4 linked regions of the Pelodiscus sinensis genome follow. The protein of the gene in region 4 binds, or shares a complex with, the protein of the main gene of each other region. Links are inferred from orthologs where the notes say so. Each region holds a gene or a part of one and is shown on either strand. Other genes may lie near its edges.

Region 1 (7,503 bases), on a different chromosome or scaffold from region 4:
AATGAAGCACGGATTTGAATTTCCTTTGCTTCATTTGCATAATGTGGCTGGATGCTTTTCCAAAATAGCATATTTCGAGAAAAAAATGGGGTTATTTTGAAAAGAAACCCTTCCTTCGAAATAACTTTTACTCCTTAAAAAATGATAGCACACAGCACCATTGCTCCCACAGACAGGCTATTATGTCTCTCTCTCACCACAGGATGGCAGGGTCGGTGCATCTCCTGCATGTGGTTAACCCCTATCCTACAGGGTAGTTGCAGTATCTGTAGGGTTTTGTTTTGTCCCAAGGCACCTGGTGTGTGCATGTGCTGCACAGTTCTTTCTATGGAAGAATGCCTGGAGCATGGCTGAACTAGTTCAACTGAAGCTGGAGACAATCCAGAGAAGAGCAACAAGAATGATTAAAGGTCTAAAAAACATCGCCTATGAGGGAAGACTGAAAGAACTGGGTTTGTTTAGTTTAGAAAAGAGAAGACTGAGAGGGAAAATTATCGCAGTTTTCAAGTATCTAAAAGGGAGGAGGGGGGGAAAAAATTCTGCTTGGCCTCTAAGGATAGGACAAGAAGCAATGGGCTTAAATTGCAGCAAGGGCAATTTAGGTTGGACATTAGGAAACATTTCCTAACTGTCAGGGTGGTGAAACACTGGAATAAATTGCCTAGGGAGATTGTGGAATTTCCAACAGTGGAGATATTTAAGAGCAGTTTGGATAGACATCTATCAGGGATGATCTGGACAGTGCCTGATCCTGCCATGAGGACAGGGGACTGGACTCAATGATTTCTTAAGGTCCCTTTTGGTTCTAGTATTTTATGATTCTGTGACCCCTGGAAAAGCCACTGACTCATGTGTGAGGGACCAGTCTCAGATCCAATCTTTGCAGAAGTACTTTAAAGCAAGTTAAACTGACACCCTCTTCCTAGCTTTTTCCCTTTGGCTACGTCTAGACTGGCATGATTTTCCGCAAATGCTTTTAACGGAAAAGTTTTCCGTTAAAAGCATTTGCGGAAAAGAGCGTCTAGATTGGCACGGACGCTTTTCCGCAAAAGCACTTTTTGTGAAAAGAGTCCGTGCCAATCTAGACGCGCTTTTGTGCAAAAAAGCCCCAATCGCCATTTTCGCCATCGGGGCTTTTTTTGCGCAAAACAAATCTGAGCTGTCTACACTGGCCCTTTTGCACAAAAGGACTTTTGCCCGAACGGGAGCAGCATAGTATTTCCACAAGAAGCACTGATTTCAGACAGTAGGAAGTCAGTGTTCTTGCGGAAATTCAAGTGGCCAGTGTAGACAGCTGGCAAGTTTTTCTGCAAAAGCAGCTGCTTTTGCGGAAAAACTGGCAAGTCTAGACACAGCCTTTGGGTGTGTCTACACTACAGTGTTATTTTGAAATAACACATCTAGACACAAAATGCATTTCAAAATAGCGTTTTGCTATTTTGAAATAGCGCGTTCACACTGATTGGATGCTGCATCGCATTTAAGGCCGGCCAGAACCTGTTCTGGCAGGGCATCAGGTCAGGAGTTACCTTGTGTGGCTGCTGCCTGAGGCTAGCTGAGACCTGTGCTTAAAGGGATCCCCCTGGACAGCCGGTTCTAAGGTTTCCCTGCTTGCCTGCCTACCTCACTAAGGGACAGCAAAGCATTTTTTTCTCTGTATGTTCTGGTTGCCCTCACTCAGGACACCACACCACTCTGCAGCATGGAGCCGGAGCTGCCTCTGGGCACTCTGGTGCTTCTCCTGGATGTGTTGCTGTGAGCCTGGCAGCACGTTCTGCAGGCAGTAACAGTCTCCCTGATGTGCCCCACTGGGGGCTTGTGCCTCATTCCTCCCTCACGTCCTTCCACTTACCCCTCCCTAACCTCCCTCCCTGCTGTACAATAAAAGACACATGTTCATTACAACAAAGCTTCTTTAGTGAACAAAACTGGAGTGAGAGGGAGAATGAAACTGAGGTAAGACTGGGAAAAGAAGGTGAGAGAGGGAAGGAGAGAGAGTGGAGGGGGAAACCTGGGAGGAGGGAGCTGGCAGGGGGTGGCAAGGGGAGGAAGGAGGAGGAGAAGCTCAGGGCTCAGGTTTGGGGGGGGTCTCACCAGGCCAACTGTCTCCCAGAACCACGGGTGTGGAGGCCTCAGCATCCCTGGGGGCTTGGCAAGGATTGGGAGGAAGAAGCGGGAGGGGGAGAAGGAGTGGGAGGAGGAGCGGTAGCTGGGGAGGCAGCAGGGGCTGAAGCAGCAGAGACAGGAAGCTCTACCCCAGGGTCAATGACTACCTGGGGGGCACAGACCATCCTGCCCCCCAGGATGTGTTCCACAGCATCAAAATAGGGGCAGGGGCCTGGGTCTGCCCCTGGTTGGGAGCTGTCCCCTGTGGCCCTGGCATACGCCTGCAGCAGCTCTTTTATTTTCATATGAACCTGCTCCTGGATTCGCATGCGGCCTTTGGTGGCGAGGCTGGCAGCCATCCGCCTGTAGATGGTTGCGTTCCTCCATTTAGTGAGGAGATCGTGGATGTTGGAGGCATCCCCCCAAACCTGAATTAGGTCCCTGATCTCCACTCTGGACCAGGCAGGCACCCACCTTTTTTGGCCCCTGGCAGGCTACTGGAAGATGGCAGACTGGTCCTGGGGAGCGGTGGAGGGCTGGCTGGCACTGGCTGCCTGGCTCATGCTGGGGCCACTGGGTCTGGTACAGCGACTGCTGGCTCTGGGATGGCAGGCTTGGAGCTGGCACAGGCACTGTGGCCAGAATCTACCCCTTTAAGGGCTCCGCTGAGGGGGGAGGGGAGAGAGAAGTTTTCTCGGTTGTGCCCAGAGTGGCCACCAGGGCACTCTGGGAAGGCTGGAGGCCCCCTATTTTGAAATAAACACCTACATAGCGCTTATTTTGAAATAGCAATTTCGAAATTGGTGCTATTCCTCTTGGAATGAGGTTTACCAATTTCAAAATAAGCCCTCCGCTATTTTGATTTAATTTTGAAATAGCGGTTTGGCTGTGTAGACGCTGGTAAAGTTATTTCGAAATAACGGCTGTTGTTTCAAGATAACTTTGCTGTGTAGACATACCCTTTCACATTTTATCCAGCCTCAGGGTAACTTTTGTGCATAGTGGGTTGGTCAAGTAGCAAAGCTTTCTGCTTTGTTTTGAAGTGGTCCCAGATTCCTACCTAGCTAAGCTTTTACAAACACATTCAGTAAGCTCATATCTATCTCCATGATGTATTTAGTTTTCCCATCCAGGAAAAGGGAAGTTGTAACCATGTCTGCTGTTTTACCAGACAACAGATTCCTACCCCCACCTTTTTGTGTGCTGCAAGTTGGTGTGACCCTCTCCTAGCTTCAGTGTCCCTTACTTTCCTACCCTGACATCCTGTTGCAGCCTGGACACCCCTTAATGTGTTCTCTTTGGGGCTTCTGTTTTTAGGGTCTTCTCTGTATGTTTCCCTGTTATTTTTGTGCAGGTTTTAGCTCTTAATGGGCTGAGCTGAGCTGAAGTGCTTGCTTCTCCGGGTTTCTCCTTTCACAGGGGTGTTCTTCCCATACCCCAATTCCTTGTCCCAGCCCTGATCCCCCTTCTACCCTCTGAACACCTTGGTACCAGCCTGGTGAACCCTCCTCCATCCCAAACCTGTTATCCTTGGCTCAACCCTAAATCTTGCTCTCCCAGCCAGAGCCCTCACCTCCTCCCTTGCCCCTTGCACACAATTTCATGAGCATTCATGGCTTGCCATACAATTTCCATGCTGAGATGTGTCCTTCAGGCCAAAATGTTTGCTCATCCCTGCACTAACTTCTTGCATATGTGGTAAAAACGATATTTTAGCTTCTCAGTAAAATATCCCATCAGGAATACAACAAATCCCTTTATGAAAGGGGAATACATCTATATATATCACTGAGAAGTAATAAAAGACATGTATCAAGATGGAATGAAAAAATCCCATAACCAGAAGGAGTAAAATCAGTCCATATACCAAGAGGAATTTTTAAAACAATCAGGGGATATAAAAACTCTGTATGGTAGGAAATATTACTATTGCCCTTACTCCAAAAAACCCCAAAACTTTCCATGTGATATAAGATTAAAATAATCCCATAAATTAAACACAACTGAAAAACACCATAAATCAGAGAAAGTAACAGAATACTGTATCTGAAGTGGCTGTAGGGGGAAAACACACACATTTGAGGCATTAAAAACAACTGGTAGATCTGTGAGGAGGGATAAAAAATGCAATATCTGGAGGGAGCAGATAAAAAAAAAAGAGAGGGATATGAGACCCTATTTCTGGAGGGAGGGAAGGATGGAGTACACACGCGGTACCCGGCAGTTCACCTTCAGGTGTGCCCCTGCCTACTACCTTATCCACTCAAAGTTCCTGCAGCCCACATGAACAGTATGCCACATCCAGGACACCTCTATGTTAACCCTATGTTTGCCCCCTAACCCCCACCATTGGGCCACACATCAATAGCATACAATTCTCGCAGCAGGGGAAGATACATTTATCCTACAGCAGTGAAGAGGTTAAGCAAGAGAAGTTCACTGGCCTTCTTCCTCTGACATCACAGTCAAAGGCCTCCTGTCAGCCCCCAGAGCGTTTATGCAGTGAAGTCCTTTGAAAGGTGCATGAAGTTCTTAAGCAATCAATAGTGACTAAAAAGGTACAAGCTGCCATAGCAGCTGCTAACTGAAAGGGGCTGGGATGCAGGAGAATTCCTGCTTCCCTGGTGTTCTGAGCTACTATATCAAGACTGCATGCAGCCCAAGAGAACTGGCTGTACTCCCTGCTGCAAGCCTAGGACAAGCTGCATTACTACACACACTGTGACTTGCCTCAAGCCTCTTCTAAATTGGAATACAAAGCAAAGGATTTCCAGTGTAGCTTTCTGCTGCCTGAAGGGACTCTAAGAAGCTCTCTTGTAACTCTATGGTTTAATTTCATTGTGGCTTGAGGCTTCAGTCTTTCCGCTCAGGTAAGCAGCTATTTTAGATTGTGCATTATTTTGCTTTATGAGCAGCAAATGGATAGATATTTGTCTGGTTGAAAACTGAAGTGTAAAGAAGCTGTTTCTCTCAAATAATGATCAAGTTCATGTTTACATATCTATTCTGTTGACATTGCTAAAATAGTATAATTGTGGCTTTCTGAATAGATTGATTATATCATCCTATGTAGTATTGCTCTAACTGAAAATTAAAACCTAAGAAAAGAATACAAGCTGCCTCCTTTGTGTTCCTTCTAATTTAACATTGATCGGATGCAGCTCCTATATGCTGCAATGTGTGTTATTACTACCTACATAGAATTCAGTTGATTTGTATTAGCAGCACATCATGCAATGTTTTGTTTAGGTTTGCTGTGTCACATTCAGTGTGGGCTAGTCCGAAGCTTCGTTAATGATAAATGCTGAATCAGGTCTTCTAGTATAAATAGCAATCATATTTATTAACTATTCCTGATACCCTGCAGTATAAGTTTAAATTGCTAAGCACAAGATAACATAGGCTAGTAGTTAAAGCACAGGACAGTGAATTGGAACAGCTGGATTAAGATTTTCAAACTTGGCTGCCTAAAATAAGGTTTCTAAACCCATATTTAGGCATCTAAATTGAGATTTGTGGGCACATAATTCTCTTAGGTTCCGTTTAAAAACCAAGCCCTTTATTTAAGGGTGGTATTTTCACTGACTGAAACCAATGAAAATCAGATTAGTTAACCAGTTGGTTAGAAATGGTCAATGATCTTAGACTAGAATTTTAAAAGGTGCCTAGTAGAGATGGATACCCAGCTCCCATTGATTGTGAGAGTTGGACACATAATGCCATTTGACCTCCTTGACAATCACAGCTTCAGGAGCCCAATGATAAACTGTCAAGTGTGAAAATAATGACCCTGATTTCCATAAATTGGCTTAAAACAGAGCTGCAGATATCTCTAGATTTTCTGGGCTATAATGGTTGATGGCCTTGTTGGTGGCTGACAAGTCTAAGATGGTGAAACTTAGGAAGGAACTATCCATTGCACACATACAAAATGGAAACTGCCTGTCTAGGAAGGAGTACTGCAGAAAAAGGAATCCACGGGTCATTGTGGACTACAAGCTAAATATGAGTCAGTAGTGTGACATTGTTGCAAAAAAAGCAAACATCGTTCTGGGATGTATTAACAGGAGTGTTGTAAGCAAGACAGAAGAAGTCATTCTTCCGCTCTAGTCTTTGCTGATTAGGCCTCAACTGAAGTACCGTGTCCAGTTCTGGGCGCTACATTTCAGGAAAGATGTGGACATATTGAAGAAGGTCCAGAGAAAAGCGACAAAAATGATTAAAAGTTTAGAAAAAATGATCTGTGAGGGAGGATTAAAAGAATTAATTTATTTAGGCTTGAGAAGAGAAGAAAGAGATTTTAGTACCTAAAAGGTTGTTTCAAGGAAGAGGGAGAAAAATATTCTCCTTAACCTCTAAGGGTAAGACAAAAAGCAATGGGCTTAAATTGCAGCAAGAGGTGTTTAGGTTGGACATTACAAGAAATTTCCTAACCCTCAGAGTTTAAGCACTGGAATAAATTGCCTAGGGAGATCGTGGAATTTCCATCACTGGAGATTTTTAAGAGCAGGTTAGACTGGGATGAGCTTCAACTGGAGTGTGGTCCTTTCATGAGTGAAGGGGATTGGACTTAATGACTTTTCAAGGTTCCTTTCCAGTTCTATGATTCTATGGGGTACTGATTCTGAGCTGTCAGCAGGAAAAGATTATGCAGGCTTCGGTAGCAGTGGATTCAGTGGAGAGCAAGGAGCAAGAAGCTGAATTGGAGAAAGTCTAGGCTGGAATGGGAAGAAATCTCAGATGACAATTGTAGACAGCATGTTCAATAAGTTTACATCTAAAAGGCAGATGGACTGGTAGTTGGAGAGGCAAATGGTGTCAAGGGTGAGTTCTTAAGGTGGGAAAGTATACAGTTTGTGTAATGAAGGGAAGGAGCTGGAGGAGAGTGAGAAGGAGAAGAACAAGTGCAAGGCTGGAAGAGGGAGCACAGGAGATCAGGAGGTGGGATGGGGTCACTGGGGAAAGTGGAGGAGAAGAGCAGATCAGAAACATCTGTATCTGTGACGGGAAAAAAGGAAGTTGAGCTGAGGGGAGAGGTAAAGTTACATGATATTTTGTCAACTTTATGTCAGAATAAATTGGTGAGAGTCTACGTAGAGACAGAATTGGAGCAGAAGGATGGGAGAGGGTGAGGCATAAGTCAAATTAAGGCAGGAATAGGATTCAGTTAAGTTGACAGAATTATTTAGCTAGGAAGATGGCAGAACTGAAGGTCATAGGATTTCTGCCAGCAATGCTCTGTAATGGGAGAGCAGGAGTGGAGGGAATGAGCCAGGGCTGTGGGTTGGCAGGATGTACATTGTGGGCAGTAAGTGGGTCAAAAAAAGTCAAGCATGCAAGTTAGTGAAGCATGGAGAGAATTAACAACAATGGCAATCAAAGAAAGGGAGGAGAAGG
Region 2 (7,897 bases), on a different chromosome or scaffold from region 4:
AGTGCCTTACAATGATCAATAACCATGTGGAGCAATGACCTCTAAACAGCTGGCTGTCCAGCGTGCTGACCATCTGGAGAGCTTGATTGTTCTAGCCACTTACCACCCTCATAGCCCCAAAAACACCCAGTGTAAAAATGTCCCTTTCTAGGTTACCCACAGAATTGGGCAAAACTTTTCAACCACAACTTTTTGGTGAAAAAATGCAGATTTAGTGACACTGAAATGTTTTAAAAATTCAAGTTGATTTGGCTAAATTGGTTCAGTGGGGGAAGGAAGAAGAACACATTGAAACATTTGGTTTTGATGGTTTTTAACTGATACAGTTTGATTTTGTTGGTTTGAAATGACTTTGTGTTTCTACCTTGTCTTTACGTTTCTTTTTTTTAATCAAAATGTTTTAAAATGGCTGAAATCAAAACAAAATATTTTATTTATTGTCAAAAGGAAACATTTCATTCAACCCCAAATGAGTTTTTTTCAACTTGTCAGTTCACAGAAAATGTTAAAAACTCATTTTTGGTTCAAACCCAAAATGTTCATATTTTTGAATAATCAGAATAGCCAATAAACCAAAAACGCCATTCTTTGCCCCACCGCAGTTACAAATCACACCCTCGTGGAGATTGTTGCAATACAAAGAACTGTCACGTGCTCATGGTCTTTTCTTTCTGGATGCTGCTTATTTTCATCTTTCATTTTGCTCAGCTTTGGCAATAGGAACATAAGAACGGCCGTACTGGGTCAGACCAAAGGTCCTTCTAGACCAGTAGCCTGTCTGCCCACAGTGGCCAGCACCGGGTGCCCCAGAGAGGGTGAACCAAAGACAATGATCAAGCGATTTGTCTCCTGCCATCCCTCTCCAGCCTCTGACAGACAGAGGCCAGGGACACCATTTCTATCCCCTGGCTAATAGCCTTTTATGGACCTAACCTCCATGAAATGATCTAGCTTCTCTTTAAACTCTGTTATAGTCCTAGCCTTCACAGCCTCCTCTGGCAAGGAGTTCCACAGGTTGAGTACACACTGTGTGAAGAAGAACTTTCTTTTATTAGTTTTAAACCTGCTACCCATTAACTTCATTTGGTGTCCTCTAGTTCTTCTGTTATGGGAACTAATAAATAACTTTTCTTTATTCGCCCTCTCCACACCACATCTCTAAGTTCGTCTTAGTGCATCTCTAAGGTGCCACAGGACCACACATTATTTTTAAAGTTACAGACTAACCTGGCTCAACCCCTCTGACATATGCCCATAAACACAATGGGCCTCATACATGTACACACACACACCTCTAAGCACATGCTAAGATACACACACACAGATGCAGACACATGCCCCTTCCCAGGACACGTACCCATTCACCCTCTAAGATCTGCCCTCAGACAGGTGTGCCAATGCTCACCATCCTTAAAGGAGCTATTGGCCTTCTGTGTGTCATTCACCTCCTGGGGCCCTGGGAAATGGGGGAGAGGCAGAAGTGTGGGGGAGGGATGGGACCCAGTGGAACTGCCTGGAATGAATGAAGTTGAGCTAGTTTCATGAAGGGAAGGAGCAGCTCCCAGCGCTGAGCCTGGCTTGCATGGCACCGGGCTGCTCTCCATTTGCCAGAGCGCGAAGCCATCTCACTGCTTGCGCACACGGCTCCTCCTGAGCCTCTCTCCTGCCCCCTCCGTAATCGCTCCCTCTGAGCGGACGTGCCAGGACACGCTGCCTGCGGGCCGGGGAGCTTTCATATCAACAGAAACACACCTGATGGCGAGATAGAAGCCAAATCCCAGGGGGATCATCTGGAATTAGCTGCGAAACTAAGAAGCTTCAATTTGAAGCTTGGAGGTGTGTGTGTGTGGGGGGGCTCAATTTGAAGCCTGGGGTGGTTGTGGGTTCAAGCCCGCGACCTGCCCCAGGAGCAGCAACGGTGGGCAGCTTCCTCTGGAGCTGCTGCCAGGATCGGAGCAGTGGGGCAGCCCACAAGTCCCCAGCCAGGGTCGGCCCTAGCGGCGTCCAGATCACAGCAATTTGGGACCTGCTGGCCAGAAAGGAGACAAATGAAATTAGCGGCAGTGTAATTGTGGCTGCAGTGTAATTGCGGCTCCCTCTTGCAGGTGGCCCTGGCTGGTGGCTCTCTGGCTGAGGCTGCGGTTTTCCTCCCGTTTTCACTGGCAGACCCTTTACCCATTTCAAAGGGCGGCACGGCCCCTTCGGAAAACTTAGACAGGGGTCTGTGGACCACAGTCTGAAAACCACGGCGCTAAGGGGCAGAGCGGTGTGTCCTAAGACATGGGTAACTCAGTCCTAACCCTCCCTCCCACCGAACCCCTGACTCCCCGCCTGTTTCTCTTTGCCTCTGTCCCCCGTTAGGCTCATGAATAAGCTAGTGAAGGTCCCAGTCAGCCCCAGTTCCACCTTTCCCAATAGCAGCTCCTCTGTGTTTCCAGGCCAGCCCAGTGCAGTCTCTGGGGAGGGAGCAGGGTTTGTGCCTGGGAAGGGAGGTGCCCAAAGCAATGCAGAAGGGTTAAAAGGTCTCAGCGGGGGACCCCTGTTAGTCTGGACCTTTAAAAACAACGAGTCGTCCTGTGGCACCTTAGAGACTAACAAAAATCGATCTAGGATCACGAGCGTTCAGGTGAGTTGAGCAACAACAGGGGACCCTCGGAATAAGAAGGGAGAGGGAGAAAAAAAATTACCTGTCAATTCTAGTCCCGGGGCTAATTGGGTGGGCTGGAAGCGTCCCATACTTAGCTTTGATGTCAGCTGGGTGTTGCATGTAAGGTTGTATAATCCTTAATGGCTTTGTTCAGGCCCAGGGAAACAGTGTCAAATTTGCATATAAAGGTCAATTCTTTTCTTTCTTTTTCTTTTCTCTCTCTCTCCCTCTTGTTGGCTTGTGAAATTCCTTTGAAGAAGAATGGCTACTTTTATACCCATTAACGAGGGCCCAGGCAGGTTCAAATATTCCCCTACAGCAGGGTGCAAAATAATTTTTGATGGGGGGTGGGGCACTCCAAGATATTGGTAAGTGGTCAATGTCCGCACTTTTCTATGGAGGGAGTGTGGGGTCTGGGATGGAGATTGGGTGCAGAAGGGAGCTCAGGGTAAGGGACTGGGGTGCAGGAGAGGGTGAGGGGTCTGCAAGGGAGTGTGGTGAAGGAGGGGTTCACAGCATGCAAAGCTTCCCCCTACCCCCAGCGCAGGGAGGTAGATGGAGCAGCCAGCTGCTCTGAACCCTGGGGCTGCTCCCTGCCTGTGGGTCCAGTGGGGTGGGCCACTGGCCGGATAGAAAGGCTTGGCGGGCCGGATCCGGCCCCTGGGCCATGTCTTAGCCACCCCTGCCCTACGAGTTTCTGTGTGTTCCCATTTCTGGTATCTGTTTTGTGTCCATTAACCCTTTCAGACTGTCCAGTTTGTATTGCAGCCGCTTGTGCTGCTGGCAGCCAGGAGAGGACTCGGAGCCCCGGGTGCCACAGGAGCCGAAGGAGAATCCATCAGCGTTTTCGGGGCTCTGACACAGAGGGGCAGGTTCTGGATCCCTCCAGTAGAGTGCAGCGGCGGCATGTGCGCTGGCAGGCCGGAGTTCCGCAATCTTACGCCTGCACTGCATGCGTGTAACATACATCGTACCCGCAGAGCATTGTCACCCCAGGCCAATGTCGCAGGGCCCCTGTGCTGCCCCACTCCACAGCAGCAGCATCCGCCCCTTGCAGCAGGCTCTGCACCATCCTCTCACCTCTCACCTTGTAAAAAGTTAGGTTCCCAAGAGGATGGCAAAGAGGACCTGGCTGACAGACCCCAAATGGCTCACCGGGGGCTGGCAGGCTGAGTCCACCGCCAGCCTGAGACCGCTCGTCCTTAAAAAATGAGGTTTACGCGGGTTTTTTCCGAAAAAGAGGTTTTTTTCCGGAAAAAAACCATGTCCAGACTACTTTCACTTTCGAAAGATCCTCTTTCGAAAGATATGCAAATTATGTGGAATTTGCATATCCTCTTTCGAAACACCCCCCCCCATAGTTTAGATGTATTGGGGGCTGCGAGAGGTGAACGACTGCGCTCCCCATACAAGGAGGTAAAACGGGGCGCAGGGCGATATCGGTCGCACTGGGATCTCACTGGGGATCCCTGCAGCAGACACCCCCAGCTAGTGGCCTAATCCCACAACGCCACGCAGCCCCTCCCTCCCCATAACTCCCCCAGGCAGCTTCGGTGGGGCACCAGGCCTGGGTGGGAGCTGGGGGGCAGCAGGCTGCCATCCACAACACAGGGGGCTGGAATCGGCTTTCTGGGCTGCCCCACTGGCTGCCAATGTAGGTGCTGCACGCCAGCCCCTCCCCCCCCGCCTTTCCTGCCCCCCAGGCGTTGCCACCTTGCTCCCCCCCCCCCCCCCCCAGGCATTGTCCCAATCAGCCGCCTCCTCGGGCCTCTCATCTGGCTGCAGCTGGGGCGTCTCCCCGGGGAGTCTCCCCTAGCGGGCGGGGGGGGGGGGTGTTTTTTGGTCCATTCCTGGCTGCTGCCTGTGTTTTTAAAGCCCGCTCTGAATCGAGCCGCCTGGTCGGCGAGGCGTCCCGGAGCGTCCCCCTCGCCCCCTCCCCGGCAGGCGTCCTGCGGGAGGCGGCTGTCAATCACCGCTCCAGATCCCATTCAAGTGTCGGGCTCCGAGCCGGACTGCACCAAGCCGGCCCAGGGACGCGGGGGTGGGGGGCAGTGGGCGCCGGCAGCCAGCCCCGCCAATCGGGGGCGCAGCGCGGGCGGGGCGCGGGCGGGGCGCGGGCAGGGCCCCCCGGCGCCGTCAGGGCAGCTGCCGCGGGGATTTGCTCCGGGTGGGACCGTCCCCCCCGCCCTTTCCCGCGGCGCCTCCCCCGGGCCAGTTTTGCAGGAGTCCCCCCCCCCCCCCCCATTCACCGTCCAGCCGCCCCCGCCCCGAAGTTGCTGGGCTCGTGCATTGGCGCCTGCATGGAGCAGTAGCCGCGGCAGGGATGCGGCGCTCGGGCGGGCACTAGGCGGACACGCAGGGGGGTGGGGGGAAGCAGCCGCCGCTTCTGCTCGCCGGGCAGGTAGGCAGCCGCGGGGGGCAGGAGCCGGGCGTGGGGGAAGCTGCCCCTGCGGGTGGGTCTCTGCCCCCTTTCCCGGGGGGATCGCCAGCTCCTGCCGCGCTGGGGGCCGGGGGGGTTAAGGGGGGGCTTTGCAAGAAATCAAACCCTTTTGCCCCAAAGGCAGCGGCCCATGGCTCTGCGGCGGGGGGGGGGGCATGGCTCGTCCCCTGTCCCGTGGCATAGGGGGTGGATCCCCCCGCCCATCTCCCGCTCCATGCAGCCCCCCCCCCCCGGCTTCGAGAGCTGCGGGGCTCGTTGCTCCCCCCCCCCTGCGGCTGCGGAGCCGGGGAGCCGCATGCAGGTGCCCCCTCCCGGGGCAGGAGCGCGCGGTCCCGCTGGAAGGGCGTGCGATGGGGGGCAGGGCTGGGGGCGAGCCGCCTGCTTTGCTGCAGTGGGACTCGGCTGCTCCCAGGGGGGACCCACCCCTCTGGCCGGACGGCTGCTGTCCGTCCCCCTCCCCCCGCAGATCTACAGTGCCCCCCCCAGCTCTGTGCCGCAGCCACCGGCGCTGAAGCGCATCCTGCCCGCCGGCCGGCGGCGGGGTTCCCCGGCTCCCCTCCGGGGGCTCGCCGAGCTCAGGCCCGCCTCCCCTGGCGGCGCTGCGCTCTGCTCCCGGGAGCTGCAGGGAAGCCGAGAGCTGCCGCAGCACTGGGGCCGCCTGCGGCTGGCGGAGTCCGAGCGCTCCGAGCCGGGGGGGGACCGTGCGCTCCGAGCCGGGGGGGACCGTGCGCTCCGAGCCTGGGGGGACCGTGCGCTCCGGCGTTGTCCCTGGCTCCTGGGACCCCCAGCCCCTTCCTGACACAGGGCGCCCCTGGGCTGGGCGCTCCTGGCTCCAGCCCCCCTGCTCCCTGTGACCCCAGGCTCCGCTGCTTAATGCGGAGGAAATGGGCAGCATGTGGTGGAGAGGGGGTGGGGACAGGGAGGTGCTGGATAACATACCTTGGAGAGCGGCCCAGCGCTGCTTCCGGGGCGCCGCATCCATCTGGGCTGCTCATTCAGCCTCTTCCCCAGGGAGAATGGCAGGGAGGCCCCTGAATCTCGGGGGAGCCCCTCCTCTGAGCCTCTGCCCCACTGCTGCTTCCACTGCCCCCCGGTCCACGGCCCAGGTGCCAGGTGCCCAGGCAGGGGGCTGCTCCAGCCCTGCACGGCCCACCACGGCCAGGGGCTGCTCCGGCCATGGCCATCCAGAGTAGCCCCTGTCCGTGTGGCACGGGGGGGGGGGGGCTGCCCATCTGCCCTCCCTCCTTTAATTGGTTAACCAGTTAGACATCACAATTAACCAATTAAACAGGGTTTTACATCCCTAGGCAGGACAGGGGACGCGGGCAGAAGAGGTGGCTCTGAGGGCCAAGGCCTGCAGAGCCAGCAGGGGCCTGAAGCCGCAATAGTGGCCGGATTAGAACCCGGGGAAGGGCTCTATGGACGGAGACCCCTGGGAACGTGGTGGGATCTGCTCCCGGGCTGGGGGGTGCTGAATGGAGGGGTCTCCTCTGCTCGGAAAAGGGACGCCCAGGGAGGAGGCTTTGCCGGGATTTCCCCTCCCTTTGTGCTCCCCTTCCAGACGCCTCCCCCTGCTGAGACCTGCTCGACACGCGGGCGGGGTGCTGGCCACGGCTGGGAGGCTGGTCACCTTTTCCTGAGCACTGTTGGGGGGGGTCTCCTCTGGGGGGAAAGGGGCTCTCAGAGTGAAGACCCTCCCCTCTAGAATCTGACACCCGGTTGGATTCTCACCCACCTTGGGGTGCAGCCCAGGGCCCGGCTGCTCACCGAGCCTTTGCCAGACGGGCTGAGAGTGACGCTTGCTCTGAGCTGGCGCTAGCCCACTGAGGCACTAAGCAGGCTATTGGGGGCTCCTTCCGGCACTCAGACTGGCCAATGTGTAGCATAAAAAGCAAAGCGGGGATCCCCTGGACTTGCTCGGGGCCCGAAGGAATTTCGTAGCCGGCTTATGCCCAGCGTGGCTCTGAGCGCCTGTCAGCGGAACTGAGGCCCGCGCCCGTGACTTCCAGCTGCCATGGGGCAGGGTAGCTGCGATTCAGGAATCGAGTGTCGGGGTGCGAATGGATCGCTGACTGTCCCTCTCCGTTCTTCTTTCCAGCGCCTGGGTCTTCCGTGCCATCTCTGTGCTCCTGTGGGTGAGTAGAGGATGGAATCCAGGCCTTGTGGGCGAGGCTGTGGTGCATCTGGGTAGCTCAAGCGGGGGTAGGGCTGTGTGTGTGTGTGTGTGTGTGTGTGTGTGTGCATTTAGAGATGTTTTAAGTGTGTGTTGGGGGGGGCTACAAACGAACGACTTCCAGCGTAATCTCAGTCCAGGCGTGATTTCTGCAAGCCCTGGGTGTCTCGCAGGATGCTGCGCGTTCCAGTTGCAGCGTTAGATCATTGCTCCTCGCTGTTAGTGCAGCGGGCAGGTGTTGAGAGACCCAACCTGGAAAGGCAGGGAAATCCCTTATTAATTGACTCTGCCTTCAAGGCCTCATTCGCAGGCCAGCTCTGCCTCGGGCCATGGCTCAGACTTGGCCAGGCAGCACAATGCAGGCCGGGGCGCGTTCTGGACGTGCGTTTGTTCTTGGAAGGGGCTGACAGGGCTGGCCGTCTCTCCGCTGAGCAGCGACAGTGATGTCTAATGGGAAGCGCGTGAGCTGCTCTCTGCTCTGAGCAAAAGGGTGGGGGAGGAGGGGCTAAGTGTGAGCACTGCTGAGCCCTGGGGAGGATCGGTTTGGTGGGGGGAGTTTAAACGGGCTAGGATTTGGGAAGGAGTCTCAGGGAATTAGGTGCCCTGCTGCTTTTGTAACTGAGTGGAAGCCTGATAC
Region 3 (7,634 bases), on a different chromosome or scaffold from region 4:
CTATACCTTCATTCATAGGATGCAATATTTAGTGGCCAAGACCCCTTTACTAGGTTTGAAATATAACAAAGTGTGTTCCTTCCCTGCCCTCCCCCTGGTGTTAGTCCTTGGAAAACGAATGTTAGCTCACTGATTTTACTGAGTTCCCTGTCATTTTAAATATAGCTTGAAGTCTCAATGACATTTTAGTGCTTTTAAACAACTACAGCAAGGCTTTGCTTTAAGAGAAAAAGACTCCCCCTAAGTCGTTTGGCACCACCAGCAGTTAATATATTCCAAAACGCCCTGCATGGTTGCTTAGATTAGACTTTAAGAAACCATGTATTTTGAAGTCACTAAACAAATAGAGTCTGTAGATACAGAAGTGAAAGCTCATTTGACTGGCTCCGTGGGGTCTCAATTACCACAGGGCAACCCAGAGCCTATTTTTCTTCCTTTGTACACTCTTGATTAATTTTCTTCAGATATTTTAAAGTCAAAAACCAAAAATGCGATAATGCAATTACTTTCAGACGTCTCACGTATAATCCAGGAGCCTTGCAAGACAAGCATGAAACTTAAAAAACTACTAGCCTCTTCCCTTCCCCCATGCCTTTAGGAGTATCAGTGCTCCAGGCTGGCAAGAATTAAACCTCAGAAGTAGGCTCTGAGACAGTATATTGCAAAGTGGAAAAGCACCTCTGATTTTTTATTTAGATACAGTTAAAAATGAATGTGTGAGAGAGATTCATAGAGTGGATAAATTTTCCCTTGGCCGTAAGATACCTGGCAGAGCCAGTTCCACTGGAACAGCGAACCTGATAAGAATTGGAATGATCCGTGTGAAATAAATGTAACATGCAGTCTGTGGAAGGGGGAGCCGGGGGACAAGAGACAGTGAGAATAACGACATCATCTTTTTATAACCTCTTATTCCAGAGAGAAATATTTCTAGCAGAGTTACCTGGGAATTATGTCTCATTGGGGTTATGACACTATTCGATACACAAGAAGCAGGGACAATTTGTGACTTGATCCAAATTCAAATGACTCAATCTGTAACTAACTTCTAAAATAGGCTCTCTTACATTTCAGTGGGAACATATAAGGGTTTTCACAGAGTATCAAAATCAAGAGCATAGTCTATTACCCAATGGGTTATGAAAAATATTTGAAAGCAGGCAAGTGCATGTGTGCAGCTTCCATTGATTTTAACAAGAACTGCATGCATGTATCCCAGGGCACAATTAGCCTGAAGCTTAATTTTTAATATGTTTACACTATGTTGTTCTAAGCCCAACTGTTCAGTCAGTCTGTCTCTGGGGGAAAGTTAGTGAATATTACAAATAGTTGGATCCAATTTAAAGACAGCCAGGGGAATATAGCCACTAGGGAAAGAAAGCAAGTTATTTTCAGCTAGAAAAATTAAAGAATTTTAACAGCTTGCTAAGGCTCCAGAGTGTGGTATCACCATGAACTTGAAAGTAAATGGATGTTCTCAACTTGCCTTTACTCTAAGGTACTTACACACTCTTTCCCAATCAAGTGTGGCACCTATATTATTTGACTGCCACACAATTGGTGACATTTATACTCCCAACAATCTTAAGAAGGGACATTTATAATCCCCATTTTATAGGTGAGGAACTGAAACACAGAGCAACTAGTGACTTATCTGAGGTCACTCAGAATGTGAACCCTAATGCTAGGGACATTACAAGTCAGCAGGAGAGAGACAGTAAGGAATAGTTCTGTGTGACACTAGGAGATGGACACAGTGACCCAAGGAGTCTTTTTTCCATCTCTGACTTCTAGGCTATTCAGACATCTGATTAAGCACATTAGCAGGATATTTCCATTCAAATAAATCAGCAGTCTACACTACGAGCGCCGCAGCCATGCTGGAGGAACCTGTAGCTGTAGGCTCCCTACACAGATGGAAGGGTTTTTTCCTGTCACTGATGGTAATTCACCTCCCCAAGTGGGATAACTAGCTCAACAAGCATTCTTCTGTGGACATAGCTGGGTCTATAGTGGCAGTGAGGTCGGCGTAGCGACAGTGCTATGCGACATTGCTAGGTCTACATTTTAAGTTGTAAACCAGACTTAATACAAATATTTAATTGTCCTCAAGCTTCAACACCAACATTCTGTAGGTGAGCCACACCTCTTATAGCCTTTGCTTCAAGTGTTTATACATTTCAAGGGCAAAAACCTGATTTTTTTTTTTTTTTAATTTCAGGAAACTGATTTCTTCAGGACAAGGGCTGTGCTTACTGTCTCTAATCTACAGCAGGTAGCATAATAGATCCCTTGCTTCATTTAGAGCCTCTAGGTCAGGGGTGGGCAATAATTTTTGACTGGGGCCACTTCAGAAGGGGCAGGGCCTCAGGCAGAAGGGGTGGGGCCAGGACATATCTGTGCTTCCCCACTCTCAGATCCTGACTGGTCTGGGGGAGGGGGAGTGCACAAAGTTGTTGCCCCCTCCCCCCAACAGAACTGCCAGCTGTTCTGAACAGCTGGCAGTTCCCTCTAGGTACCTGTGCCCCTGGTGGTGGGAGACTTTGTGTGCTTCCCCCTGCTCCCGCCCTACAAGGGAGTGCCACACTTAGAGTCACCCACCAGCTGAGCAGCAGCTGGCAGGTTGACTTTAAGTGCTGAGCCCCTGGCAGGGTGGGAGGAGACTTTGCACACCCCCAAGCCAATCAGGGTTCGGGGGCTGAGGGAGCGTGCAAACTCTCCTCTCGCCCTATGGCACTTCTAAGCACCCTGCACTCCTTGCAGGACAGGGGCAGGGTGGGACGAGACTCCATGCGCTCACTCCGCCCCCGGGCCTTGATTGGCCTGTGGCGGGGGAACAGCAAGGCCTCAATGGGCCAGATGCAGCCCGTGGAGGCCATTTTGCTCACCCCTGCTCTAGGTGCTCCTAAAGGGCAAGAATGTCTTTTTGTCTCATTTTTATTCAATTCAAGCCCTGCTCACAAACATTTATGTATATACAATATTAGATTCTTACTCACCAGGCTATACAAATGTCTGAACAGCTTCAGCTTTGATGGGAGAATAGCTAGTGTGGAAAGAAACACAAGGCCATTAGGAAATGTTAATACAAGCCACCTAAAGCACAGGCCTCTTAGGGCTTGCTTATTCAGGGATATATATAATTATGCACAGTAACAAGCTAAACCAGAAAGAGCCATTTATTCTGAAATAAGTGTATCTACATAGGAAACTGTATCACTATAACTACCATGGTAGATTTCCCCAGATAGACCAGCCCTCAGAAGAGAGCTGAGCATTTCAGAAAATGCAAATCCAGGACAGGTTAACACTATCAATTATAAACCACATTTTCTGCCACAATCTATGCAGGATCTGATTAGGTTTTTAAATGGAGCTGGCCACTACTAAACAAAAGACAGTATGCTGTGGTTTTAAGAGTCAAGTCTGCATCTCAGGGAAGCAATTCAGTGACATTAAATGGCAAGCAATATGCCTGCACTCCTGAGTATCCTTAGCAAGCAGCAGAGAAAAGGAAAAATCCTCATGGGGCGGGGGGAAATGAGATAGTACTATAGTGGGGAAATACACATTTACAGCCAGAGGAGATTGCCTGCAATAGGCCAGAAGACAGCAGGAACTTTATCACCTCCAGTATCCTATAGGGTGAATTATGGAAGGAAGTTCTTGGTGTAGACTGCTCTGTCCACAGGCCAACAGCTATGGAATGAAGTTGTCTGACCAGCTGACCCTGCAGGGTCTGTTATAGCTTCTGAACATCTTATCCATGCAGCTTTCAAAATCAAGTTAGGCTTGCCGTGAATGTCAACAATCTGACTAAGAACTGACCCTCTTTACGGTCACTTCTCAGACAGAGGCATCTGTCCAAGGCCAGGGGAGACAGGGAAGCAACCTGACTCTTCTTTGTATGAAATATTTGAAATTTTGAAATACTGAGAGCTGCAGATGGCAGCCTCCCTCCCTCTCGGTTCACAGACATTTTACAGAGTAGAATCATTCTCCAGTTCCTGCGGTAGTTGGCTGTGGGAAAAAGGGGCAGAGAGTGGGGAAAGGAGGAGGCTGACAATTAGTATGAGGCACTCCAAATTTCAGGAATTTTTACTGGATCAAATAATTTCCCCAGGGGATATAACATTCTTTAAAACATAATACAAGTGATTGATCCATTCACTGGATAAGTTCCTATCACACTCTCGGGTCCCTAAGGGGAAACGCCACTTTCCAGTCCTAAGGGGAACATGAAGCTACAGGATGAACCTCTCTTGCCCGGCATCATCCATGCACCAGCATGATTTTAGTTAGCTGGATATCCACTTAGCATGGGTGTGGCCAAGTTTCTCGCAGTCCCATTAAGTTTGTTTATAGCCACCAGTCTTGGCTCTCAGTGTTCTGTGCTGTTATTTAGCTTTAATTTACCCCTAAATGTCTTCTAAGAGCTGAGTGAGCAGTGGAAGTGTTGGTAATGCTGCTAGACAATATTGACCACCCGTGGTTTGGCAAATTCTCCAGTTTACTTAGGACTTACTGCATTGCAAACAATTTAACCATCCAACTCCAGTCAGCTTGGTAAGAAGAAACTCCATTTTATGGCCAAAGAAAACTGAAGCAGAGAATTGTGCCCAATGTCACAAAAGATGTCTGGGGTCAGATCTAGAATTAGAATTCAGAAGCGGCTTGAATCCAGAAGCTAGGACCTTTTGAAGTAAATTTCAGATCCACATCCCAAATCCTCCTTCCTCCCTTCCACCCCCAAAATGCTCTCTGTACTGTTGTCATATGAGACAAACAGCTGTCATATGAGACAGACAACATATCTATGTCAGATCTGGATTATTTGTGTTTCAGCCCCCCCATACCTGTTACAGCTGCACTTTTCCCACTCCTTAAGGATAGACTGTGCTGTCTCCACTGAATTCCTACAAACCCCAGAGGCAAGATGGCCTGCTCATGCTGGCACACCTTAAGATTTCTCATGTGCCATGAATATATGGCAAACCTAGTTCCTTACCCCCCCTTTTCTTCCAACTCCAACCAGCACCACCAAACTAATGGCTCACATGTATCAGTGACTGATCATTCACCACTAGCTCCATTCAGACAGGATAGGGTATAGAAAAGAAGATTTTTACTAACTTAGGGTATGTCTACACTACCCCGCTAGTTCGAACTAGCGGGGTAATGTATGCATACCGCACTTGCTAATGAAGCCCGGGATTTGAATTTCCCGGGCTTCATTAGCATAAGCGGGGAGCCGCCATTTTTAAATCCCCGCTGCTTCGAACCCCGTGCAGCGCGGCTACACGGGGCTCGAACTAGGTAGTTCGGACTAGGGTGCCTATTCCGAACTACCGGTACACCTCATTTCACGAGGAGTAACGGTAGTTCGGAATAGGAACCTAGTCCGAACTACCTAGTTCGATCCCCGTGTAGCTGCGCTGCACGGGGTTCGAAGCAGCGGGGATTTAAAAATGGCGGCTCCCCGCTTATGCTAATGAAGCCCGGGAAATTCAAATCCCGGGCTTCATTAGCAAGTGCGGTATGCATACATTACCCCGCTAGTTCGAACTAGCGGGGTAGTGTAGACATACCCTTCGGGATCTGTTCTGGTACTGTGCATAGCCAGGCACCATGAACCCTGTGATGCTAAATGGATCAAGAGCACATCAGAATATCTATAGTATCAGCTGTGCCAGTTCAGGATGCATGGAATTTAAAATGGCAGAGTCTTAGAATGGTTAATGGTCTGGATTTCTCTGAAAAGTGCTTCAGGGTTCACTCTGTCAGGCAAAAAGGGGGAAAAAGTTACAGCAGTGAAGCTTTTTCCTGTACTAATCAGTCATGCTCCAGCCATAATTTAAGCAAGATTTTTGCAGTAATAAAAAGTCACAGAGCACTCACGACAGTTCCCTGTATTTTAGTCACACACTATACAAGCTACGGCCCTGAAGCTAAATAGGTTGTTGATTTTAAAAGGGTTTCTACTGAATGCAGCACATATTGATGTGAATGAGAATGGAGATCAGCAACAGATGGAGCAGCTGTCAATTTGGTTTGAGATTCAGGCTCTTACAGGTGTTACAGGAATGAGGAACATGGCCTCCGTGTGCTTTAATGACCTCAAGAATGGCAAAGAATCCCAGGCGCTATAACCTACCTTGACAGGGTACACAGATATAATTTACTTTCAAGGCAAATGAATAATGTAGGTTGCCAGTTAGGAGTTCATGCAGGCTTCAAAGAATGGGGCATATCTGCTGAGCTTACAGAAAATGTCTATAGTGTCTGCCAAGAAAGCTACATCCAGTCAGCTCAGGCAGCATCTTAAAGGTTTACATGAGAAGACATGGTTTTTGCAATGGCTAAACTCAACTGGATTTTCAGTTGTACTGGAAGTGGCATCCTTAAATCTACCGGAAGTGACATTTGTGACATCTCCTGTAAGCCAGCTTTAATATCAGAAATCCCAACCAAGTTATTTACACATCTCTAAGTCTAGCACTGAGTGGGTTTTAACATTTTTGGCAGGTAAGTTCTGCTGATGCATTGCTGTTCACGTGTATTCATTCCCATTTGCCAACTAGGTCATAAAACAATGACCCCTATCATTGTCAGTAAGATGGCCACCCACTGTGTGAAAATAGAGGCTGTTGCAACCTACTGCAACCCAAATTAATCTCCTCAGACCAACCAACCTTGCTACTAGGGATATGAATGGTTAGCCAAAGCAGGTGGGGGCCAGGCCCACGGTTTGGTACCATGGATGGGGAGCATTCCAGTCCAGTTGGAGCAGTCCTCACTCACAGCAGGCCTTGCCTCGCTGGAGCAGCCTCTGCCTGCTTCCATTTAAGTGCTTCACTGATTAGACATAACATTGAACCGGTTAACTGATTAAACGGGATTTTACATCCCTACCACCTACTCTGGTTTATGTATAATATCATGGAGTTGCCTGGGGTTGGATAAGAGCGTTGTTTAAGAGGAAACATCCCATGCACACGCTGAGCCCAGCTAAGACAAAGCCAATTCGATTTAAAGTGACAGACCAGTATCAAAATGTAGTAACCAAGAACGCTATCGTCCTAAGCACTCCTCTCCCAACAGACTTCTAGTCAACACAACACTCAAGATTATCTAACTTGTTAGATAAAAAGTTTCCAGGGAGCGGGAGTGGATGCTTTGTAAAATGGCAAGCAAGCTACGAGTGGTAGAAGAGCTAGAGCTTTCTGCGTCTTTCCCATTAACAAAGATCCAACATGTTTCATTTTTAACAAATGTACTTGACAAGTCAACAACTGAGCTATAGAAAACCAGAGCCAAGGAGCTCAAGAAAATGTCACCGTAGTGGAAAACCACCGAGTCCTACTCTTTGAGTCTACTCGCTACCTCCCCATGACTAAAGCAATTAAGAAGTCAGCTTGCAAGACCCACTTTTGAATCCTTGTTACACGTTGGACCTCCCTGATCTGGCACCCTCTGGATCTGATCGGCCCCAAAGGAAGGAGTTTCCTGGACCTTGGGAGGTTGGCCCCTCTTGCTGACAGACTCCAGGCTCTCCCAGGATCTGTCAGCAAATCACCAGACTCCCTTGCCCCTGGGCCAGCAAGCTCCCAGCTCCTCAGCAAGTCCTAGGCTGC
Region 4 (7,360 bases):
GCCCTTCCCAGCCCCCCCCCAGCTCTCGGCGCCTTCCCCCCCCCGGCCCTTCCCAGCCCCCCCCCCAGCTCTCAGCGCCTCCCCCCCGGCCCTTCCCAGCCCCCCCCCAGCTCTCGGCGCCTTCCCCCCCGGCCCTTCCCAGCCCCCCCCCAGCTCTCGGCGCCTCCCCCCCCGGCCCTTCCCAGCCCCCCCCCAGCTCTCGGCGCCTTCCCCCCCGGCCCTTCCCAGCCCCCCCCCAGCTCTCGGCGCCTCCCCCCCCGGCCCTTCCCAGCCCCCCCCCAGCTCTCGGCGCCTCCCCCCCCCGGCCCTTCCCAGCCCCCCCCCCCAGCTCTCGGCGCCTCCCCCCCGGCCCTTCCCAGCCCCCCCCCAGCTCTCGGCGCCTTCCCCCCCCCGGCCCTTCCCAGCCCCCCCCCAGCTCTCGGCGCCTCCCCCCCCGGCCCTTCCCAGCCCCCCCCCAGCTCTCGGCGCCTTCCCCCCCCCGGCCCTTCCCAGCCCCCCCCCCAGCTCTCAGCGCCTCCCCCCCGGCCCTTCCCAGCCCCCCCCCAGCTCTCGGCGCCTCCCCCCCCGGCCCTTCCCAGCCCCCCCCCCAGCTCTCGGCGCCTCCCCCCCCAGCTCTCGGCGCCTCCCCGCCCCCCCCAACGGGCCGCCGAGCTGTGGGGCGCGGGGGCCGGTGGAAGCGGCCTCAGGCCCCCCCGATCCCCTCACCCGTCCGCGGGGCCGCCTCAGCCTCGCCGCCCTGTCCCGGCCTCTCGTTGGCGGGGAGCAACCCGGCCCCGCCCGCTCAGCCAATCGCTGCCGCTCTTCCTGGGCTCGCCCCGCCCCCGGGGCGTGAGGGGGGAGGTCAGGCGGGCTAGCCCAGGCCGGGGGGGGCGGGGCCTGCAGCCTGTAGCTCAGCGCGCGCTGCGAGATCAGCCTGGCCCAGAGCCCAGGGACGCGTCTAGTGCGGGGGGGGGAGAGACACGTGTTTAAACTCAGCTCTTGCTTTTACACTTGGGCCCTGCCACACTCACAGTCCGCTTTGGTCAGTTACATGGGCCACCAGCTGTTTGAAGTGATACATTTTGTGATTTCAGCTATTTAAGTCCTGACCCAAAAACGAGTGGGAGGGGATTGCAGGGTTCTTGCAAGGGCGTTGTGGTACTGCTACGCAGCATTTCTGCATTGCTGCTTGCGGCAGTGCTGCCTTCAGAGCTGGGCGGCTGGAGAGTGGCAGCTGCTGGTCAGAAGCCCAGCTTCGACGGCTGAGTCACTGCCAGCAGCACTGAAGTAAGGAAGGCCTAGTGTGGTACTGGCACACTATCTTCTGCATGCAGAGCTGGACATTCAGCCCTGAAGGCAGTGCCGAAGTCAGGGTGGCAATACTGCAACCCCCCAATAACCTTGCGATCCCCTTGCAGTTTGTGTCAGGATCCCCACTTTGAGAAATGCTGGTCATTCCTGTGAGATCTGTACATACAGGGTAAAAGTGCCCAAGAAGATCAGATTTCACAGGGGAAAATGAGCTTTTGCAGTCAGGGACACATTTTTCATGGCTGCGAATTTGGTAGGGCCGTATTTCTACCTAGCCAGCATAAAGAACACAGGGCAGAAGTGATGATTGCTGTCTCTCTGCTCAGTGCACAAGTGTGCTATGGCCATCTACACAGTGGCAACTGCTGGAGAGGGACAACAGCTGCACTGGCCACGTGACCACCCCTCCCCATGTGACTCCTCCTCACATCACCTGTAGGTTAGGGGAGGGCCCACCTTTTCCCAGCCCTGCTCTTCCAATTCTCCAAAGCCTCTGCCCCCACTTCACCCCCACTCTACCTCTTCCTCCAAGCCCCCTCCCTTGAGCAACAAAGCCCAAGGAACTGGCGGGTGACAGGTGATGACAGCAGGGGTCAGCCCCTTCCCATTGCCCACACTCACCTGCAGTGGTAAGCTGAGCAACTCGGCCCAAGCCAGCTCTGCTCCGCCAGCCCCCAGACATGTCTATCCATTTCTGCAACTGGGGAGTGCAAGGGGCGGTTCCAACCCTTCCCCTAAACTCCTCCCCTGAGCTACATGGCTGGGAGAGTAGAGCTGGCTGGGGCCAGATTCATAGAATCATAGAGTTGGATCAGACCTCAGGAGGTCATCAAGCCACCCCTGTGAGAAGCAGGACCAATCCGAACTCAATCATCCCAGCCAGGCGGTTGTCAAGGGATGGCAATACCTCTAGGGATGGAGACTCCACCCCCTCCCTAGGGAACCCAGCCCAGTTCTTCACTATCCTCCTAGGGAAATCGTTTTTCCTAATCTCCAATCTAAATCTCCCCCACTGCAACCTGAGACCATTGCTCCTTGTTCTGCCACCTGCTCCTTGTTCTCTCCATCCTCTTTGGAACCTCCCCTTCAGGTAATTAAAGGCTGCTATGAAATCCCACTTATCTCTTCTCTTCTGTAGACTAAATAAGCCCAAATCCCGCAGCCTGTCTTCATAAATCTTTTGCTCCAGCCCCCTAATCATTTTTCCTGCCCTCTGCTGGGCTCTCTCCAATGCGTCCACATCCCTTCTCTAACAGAGGGCCCCAGAATTGGACGCAATACTCCAGGTGTGGCCTCACCAGTGCCAAATAAAGGGGAATAATCTGCTGGAAATGCTCCTACTAATGCACTCCAATATGCTGTAAGCCTTCTTGGCTACAAGGGCACAGTCTTGACTCATCTCCAGCTTCTCATTCACGGTAATCCCTAGGTGCTTTTCTGCTCAACTGCTGCTTAGCACGTCAGTCCCCAGCCAGTAGCAGTACTTGGGATTCTTCCGTCCCAACGGCGGGGCTCTGCCATTGTCCTTGTTGAACCTCATCAAATTTTTTTTGGACCAATCCTCCAATTTTGCTCTGCTCACTGCCGTAATGAGTGTGGGGGTGGGCCTGATCCCCTGCTAGTCCCCACAGACAGGCCTGGGCTGGTTGGAGGAACCATCCTATGGACAGATGGCTCTGCCCAATAACTGCTGGCCCTTTGCCCATCCCGCTATGGTGTTTGGGAAGATGTGACAATGACATCCCCATCTATGAAACAAAAAACAGGACTTTGTGGCACTTTAAGGACTAACAATATGGTTTATTAGGTGATGAGCCTTTGTGGGCCAGACCCACTTCCTCAGATCAAATAGTGGGTCTGAGGCATCTGAGGAAGTAGGTCTGGCCCACGAAAGCTCATCACCTAATAAACCATCTTGTTAGTCTTTAAAGTGCCACATAGTCCTGTTTTTTGTTTCAGCTACACCAGACTAACACGGCTACATTTCTATCACTATCCCCATCTATAAAACTGCATTTTGCCAGAGCTGCCACAAAAGAAGAAATATACAATATTGGAACCTTATAGGCCCAAGACTATGTGTACATCTGTTGTGGGACAAATAAGCATGCAGCTTACATAGATATCTACATTGGTTCTAGCATTTTTGTGCCACGCATGATACAAGGTTTTCCATATTAAGGGCATGTCAGAAGTGATGCCACAAATCATTTAGGTCCTGTCAACAACTAGAAACCTGAAGTAGGAGATTGCATCGCCATATTGAGCTCAAATGGGCTGAGAGTGAGGAAGTTCCGATAGCAGTCCAGTTCCTTCTGTCCAGCAGGAAGCAGTATTAGTCTGATAAAATCTGCACTATGCCAGTTTAAATAATCTGTCCAACTAATCTAGTGTCCGGTAGTCAATTCGTAATGCTTTTGAGGAAGTTGAACCATCTCCTCCCCACCCCCAGAAGAGAGTTCCCCATTCACTGCATCCTGAGGTTCTTCATAGAACATGTGAAAGACAGGAGCGTGTCTGGAGAGCTTAAGAAGGCGCAGTGCAATGCAGCATGCGGCGGCAGAGTGGGTCTCCTCCTTGACCACTCCCCTCATCCACCTGGCCGACTGTACGATGTAGTACTTCTGTGCCCTTCCCAGGCTCTGACGTCCAGTTACTGGTGTCACAGCCTTCATAGCTCTAAGTCTCATTTGGGGTAAAGAATTGATAGTTTCTGGACATGGGGCCAATGAACGGTCACTGTTCCTAGTCCCTCTATTCAATAATACAGGACGAGCTCATCACCTAATAAACCATCTTGTTAGTCTTTAAAGTGCCGCATAGTCCTGTCTTTTGTTCCAGCGACACCAGACTAACACGGCTGCATCTCTATCACTATTCACTAATACTACACATCCCAGAAAGCCCCTGGCCTCGTGCGCCTCTCTGCCACGCCCTAAGGTTCATGGGAATTGTAGTCCCTTGCGCTGTCACGCGCTCTTCCGCGTTCCTCTCGCCGAAGACTACAAGTCCCAGCATGCTCCGCGCTGAGCCGCCCAATCGTGCCGCGTCTAGCTGTGGGGGCGCGGCCGCGCCGAGGCCCCTTTCAAGATGGCGGACGAGAGCGAGCCTGCGGTGCAGCGGCCGCCGCCGAGGCCCCAGCGATCGCCCACGGAGGAGAATGACCACGAGCACTGCAGCGACTGCGAGAACGAGGACGGGCGCAGCTACAACCGGGGGTGAGCGCGGCCCCGAGCCCCCCGGGCCCCGCCGGACCGGCCCATTGAGCGGGGCCGCGGCCGGGAAGTGCGCCTCGCCCCGCCCTCGCGCGGCCTGATTGGCTGCCGGGCGGCGCGGCGAGCTGTGACTGGCCGGCCTCTTTGCCAGTCCAAGGGGGAGGGGCCCGTGGGCTGCAGCAGCATGTCTCGCAAGCTAAGCAGGGCCGGGCCGTAGCAGGGCGTGGATGGGAGACCTGTGGCGTGGGGTGGGGCGCCCCAGCCGGGGGCGCGGGAGCTGCTGGCCACGCCGGCGCCATAGCACGAGGGCTGCTGGTGCTTGGGTCCTGCCCACTTTGGCTTGGGGGAGGCACCAGCCGAAAGGCCCAGGAAAGGGAGCCTGGGGTGGGCATGGGCACCCTCAGTGCAGGGAGCCGCCCTGGGCAGGCGTGATTGTTGCGGACCCTGGAGAGCTTTGCACCCCAGCCAGTTGTGCTCTGGCCGGGTTTCCGCTGGGGTGACTTCATCGGCTCCCCTGCAGTTTAGCTTCCAAGCTGTGCGTGTTGCTGGGGCCTGGGAGCCGCTGTGGGGCTCTCCCTGGGGGCGAGAGACTCCAGTGCACCCCTAGCACATCGCTTCACCGTGTAATGCATGTGATGGAAATACGAGCGAAAGGGCCCCCCCTTAATATCAGGTGCAGCGAGTCTTGCATGCAACCCAGCTTGCCAGAGGCTTTGTGTTCTGCGTGCGGAAGGTGTTCCAGAGTATTACTAGGAAATGGCTACAGTGGAAAATGGAAGTTTTGTAAACAGTGAGCAATGAAAAGGGATGGGGGGGGGGTTGTCAAAATGTCTGTGTCCAGGGCAGCTTGACTGTCACTGCTGCTAGACCATAGGGCACCCACAGCCAGAAGGTTTTCCTGGTTAATGTGAACCAGGATTTTTCCCCCCTTCAAGTATGAACCTGGCTAACTCATTGGGCTTTTGTAGTTGAGTAGATCAGAGGAACAAGGCCTGGCTTCTGCTACACCAGCTGTGTCCAAACCCAGGTGTAGACAGCATGCTTCTGGTTCCAGATGGGAGGGCCTTGTTTTGCTATTCTAGTCTAATCTGTTGGGGGTTTCTAATGACCTATTTTATGGAATATTTATGCTGGAGATTTTATCCAACCCCCCTGTCTTTGCTTCTTAGTATCTAAATCGCACATCTTGAGGGATCTGGCTCGGGGATGGACTCATTGTTTTGCTGGTTCATACGGTGGGTCTGCGTATGGCGTGAGGCAGGCTGGTTGGAACAGTCTGCGAAATGCACTTGCTGCCTCCTGGGTATGAGGCTGCTTATGGCACCCAGGTTAGGGCAGCTGTTCTCCATGTTCTTCTTGCTGCCTATTGTAGGCTCCAGAAAACTTAGTTATGCGGGTGGCTTAAAGGAGAGACTTTCCCCTCCATTAGCCCCACTTTGTGTGCTGGTCAGTGTGAACTCAGCCACGTGTATAACCACAGTCTTCCAGACTTGTGCTGTGCGAATCTGAGCGTCAGTGGAACGACTTGCTCCGCTTTTCGTATCCTCGGCCCCCTAGGTGCAGATTTAGAGGCCATCAGCTAGAGAGCAGCCTCTTTGTCAGCAGCTTTTATTAGGCAATCTCTTGTGAAAGAACAAGCTGTTAAAAGCTCACGGAGGAACTAGTAAAGAAGCTTGCTTGTGCCCACAGGGGCTTGCTGTAGCGTTTCCTTTGCCCGTGGGCGGGGCACTGCTTCTTAGTGTAGTAGCTGGCCTGGGAGCTTTGATTGCCTTCTCCTCTGGCAGCTTGGGTTTGTAAAACCAGATCATCAAGGAGCAGGGCTGGGTCTCGCCTGCTGACTTTGCTTTGTGCTTTTTGCTGGCGTTGCCCAGGCCAGCTGAGTATAAACTCTCAGCCCTTTGTCTTCCTGGGGGGGAAAGTTTCGCACCTGATATTTTCCCATCCTAATGTGGACAAGGCAGGACCCCCCCACCCAGTCAAAGGCCTCTGAGAGAGAAAAGACCAAAGAGGAGAAGAGCAAGACTCCCAGAAGCTCATCCGAGTGGTGGCAGTGGGTGTGTTCTGTTCGTTTAATACGAGTGCGGAAACCAGCGTGACCCGATCCATGGATCCCAAGTGGGGGAAGCATCTGAAATGCCGCCTGTCGCGCAGCGATCTGCCAAGTGGCAAACAGCAGTGGGCAGTTCCCCTCCTCGGCGCCCGGGCGCTGCCCCAGGGCCGCTGTGCTCTTGCGACCGGGCCAGACACTGGGTCACTTTGCTGTGCAGTGGTGTTACGGGTGGGAAGCGGAGGAAGTGAGGTGGGTCTGCTTTGCTGGCGGACCGGTTCCTGGCGCAGACTCTGTGCCGAGGAGGCTTTCTTGGCCAGAGCGTCGTTTCCCGGTTTAGTGCGGGGGTGGGGGAGCTCAGGCCGTGGGGCTGGATGTGGCCCATGGCTTGCCTGGATCCAGCCCTAGGGCTCAGCACTGGGGAGCCAGTGATGGCATCCCTCCCTCCCTGCTGCTCTGCTGTGGGGCTGAGCACACCCAGTCTGCTAGCCTGGCCCCCCAGCTCCGCTGTGGGCAGTGTGGGGAGCGGCGTTCTCCTCCGTCTCTTTGCTTCTCACTTGTGTGCGGCCCCAGACTGATTTTTCTGTGGGCCAGCAGCCCCTGACCCGAAAAAGCCCCCCCCCCCTCGGTCTGTACATGGCCAACAAGTCCAATGCTCGAGTGAGCTCGTCTGCAGGGGCCCTGGAACCACCCTCGCCCCGTCGCGCTGGGGCCACTTGCGTGCTGCTCTCCCCCAAATGGCTGCATTTGGATGGTGGCCCCTGTGGGGGCTGCAGAGGGTTGGGGGGGGCAGTCGTAGCAGGGAGCC

What was found.
Region 1: the proteins of NMT1 (region 4) and AIFM3 are in contact, whole or in part, in a crystal structure (PDB 6SJZ), measured with the Homo sapiens proteins. The link is inferred for Pelodiscus sinensis from reciprocal best matches to the Homo sapiens genes NMT1 and AIFM3. Residues at the interface, in NP_066565.1 of Homo sapiens: Tyr180, Val181, Glu182, Asp183, Asp184, Asp185, Phe188, Arg189, Phe190, Asn246, Thr282, Ala283, Gly284, Tyr296, His298, Phe311, Tyr401, Ser405, Ile469, Gly470, Asp471, Asn473, Leu474, Leu495, Gln496; in NP_001373743.1 of Homo sapiens: Gly2, Cys4, Phe5, Ser6, Lys7, Pro8.
Region 2: the proteins of NMT1 (region 4) and HPCA are in contact, whole or in part, in a crystal structure (PDB 7OWM), measured with the Homo sapiens proteins. The link is inferred for Pelodiscus sinensis from reciprocal best matches to the Homo sapiens genes NMT1 and HPCA. Residues at the interface, in NP_066565.1 of Homo sapiens: Tyr180, Val181, Glu182, Asp183, Asp184, Asp185, Met187, Phe188, Arg189, Phe190, Tyr192, Ile245, Asn246, Phe247, Thr282, Ala283, Gly284, Tyr296, His298, Ser300, Lys310, Phe311, Ser312, His313, Tyr401, Leu403, Ser405, Tyr420, Gly468, Ile469; in NP_002134.2 of Homo sapiens: Gly2, Lys3, Gln4, Asn5, Ser6, Lys7, Leu8, Arg9.
Region 3: the proteins of NMT1 (region 4) and NCS1 are in contact, whole or in part, in a crystal structure (PDB 5O9S), measured with the Homo sapiens proteins. The link is inferred for Pelodiscus sinensis from reciprocal best matches to the Homo sapiens genes NMT1 and NCS1. Residues at the interface, in NP_066565.1 of Homo sapiens: Tyr180, Val181, Glu182, Asp183, Asp184, Asp185, Met187, Phe188, Arg189, Phe190, Tyr192, Asn246, Thr282, Ala283, Gly284, Arg295, Tyr296, His298, Ser300, Lys310, Phe311, Ser312, Tyr401, Leu403, Ser405, Tyr420, Gly468, Ile469, Gly470, Asp471; in NP_055101.2 of Homo sapiens: Gly2, Lys3, Ser4, Asn5, Ser6, Lys7, Leu8, Lys9.

Annotation. Positions count from the first base shown.
Region 1 is NC_134725.1:14,366,087-14,373,589, forward strand, and holds the start of AIFM3 (apoptosis-inducing factor 3), read left to right. Parts: upstream 1-4,500; 5' UTR 4,501-4,976; intron 4,977-7,503. UniProt on the Homo sapiens protein: Induces apoptosis through a caspase dependent pathway. Reduces mitochondrial membrane potential.
Region 2 is NC_134735.1:3,160,227-3,168,123, reverse strand, and holds the start of HPCA (neuron-specific calcium-binding protein hippocalcin), read left to right. Parts: upstream 1-4,895; 5' UTR 4,896-5,048; intron 5,049-7,185; 5' UTR 7,186-7,222; intron 7,223-7,897. UniProt on the Homo sapiens protein: Calcium-binding protein that may play a role in the regulation of voltage-dependent calcium channels. May also play a role in cyclic-nucleotide-mediated signaling through the regulation of adenylate and guanylate cyclases.
Region 3 is NC_134732.1:13,197,598-13,205,231, reverse strand, and holds the start of NCS1 (neuronal calcium sensor 1), read right to left. Parts: upstream 3,016-7,634; 5' UTR 3,000-3,015; intron 1-2,999. UniProt on the Homo sapiens protein: Neuronal calcium sensor, regulator of G protein-coupled receptor phosphorylation in a calcium dependent manner. Directly regulates GRK1 (RHOK), but not GRK2 to GRK5. Can substitute for calmodulin. Stimulates PI4KB kinase activity.
Region 4 is NC_134739.1:489,075-496,434, forward strand, and holds the start of NMT1 (glycylpeptide N-tetradecanoyltransferase 1), read left to right. Parts: upstream 1-4,348; 5' UTR 4,349-4,380; coding exon 4,381-4,508; intron 4,509-7,360.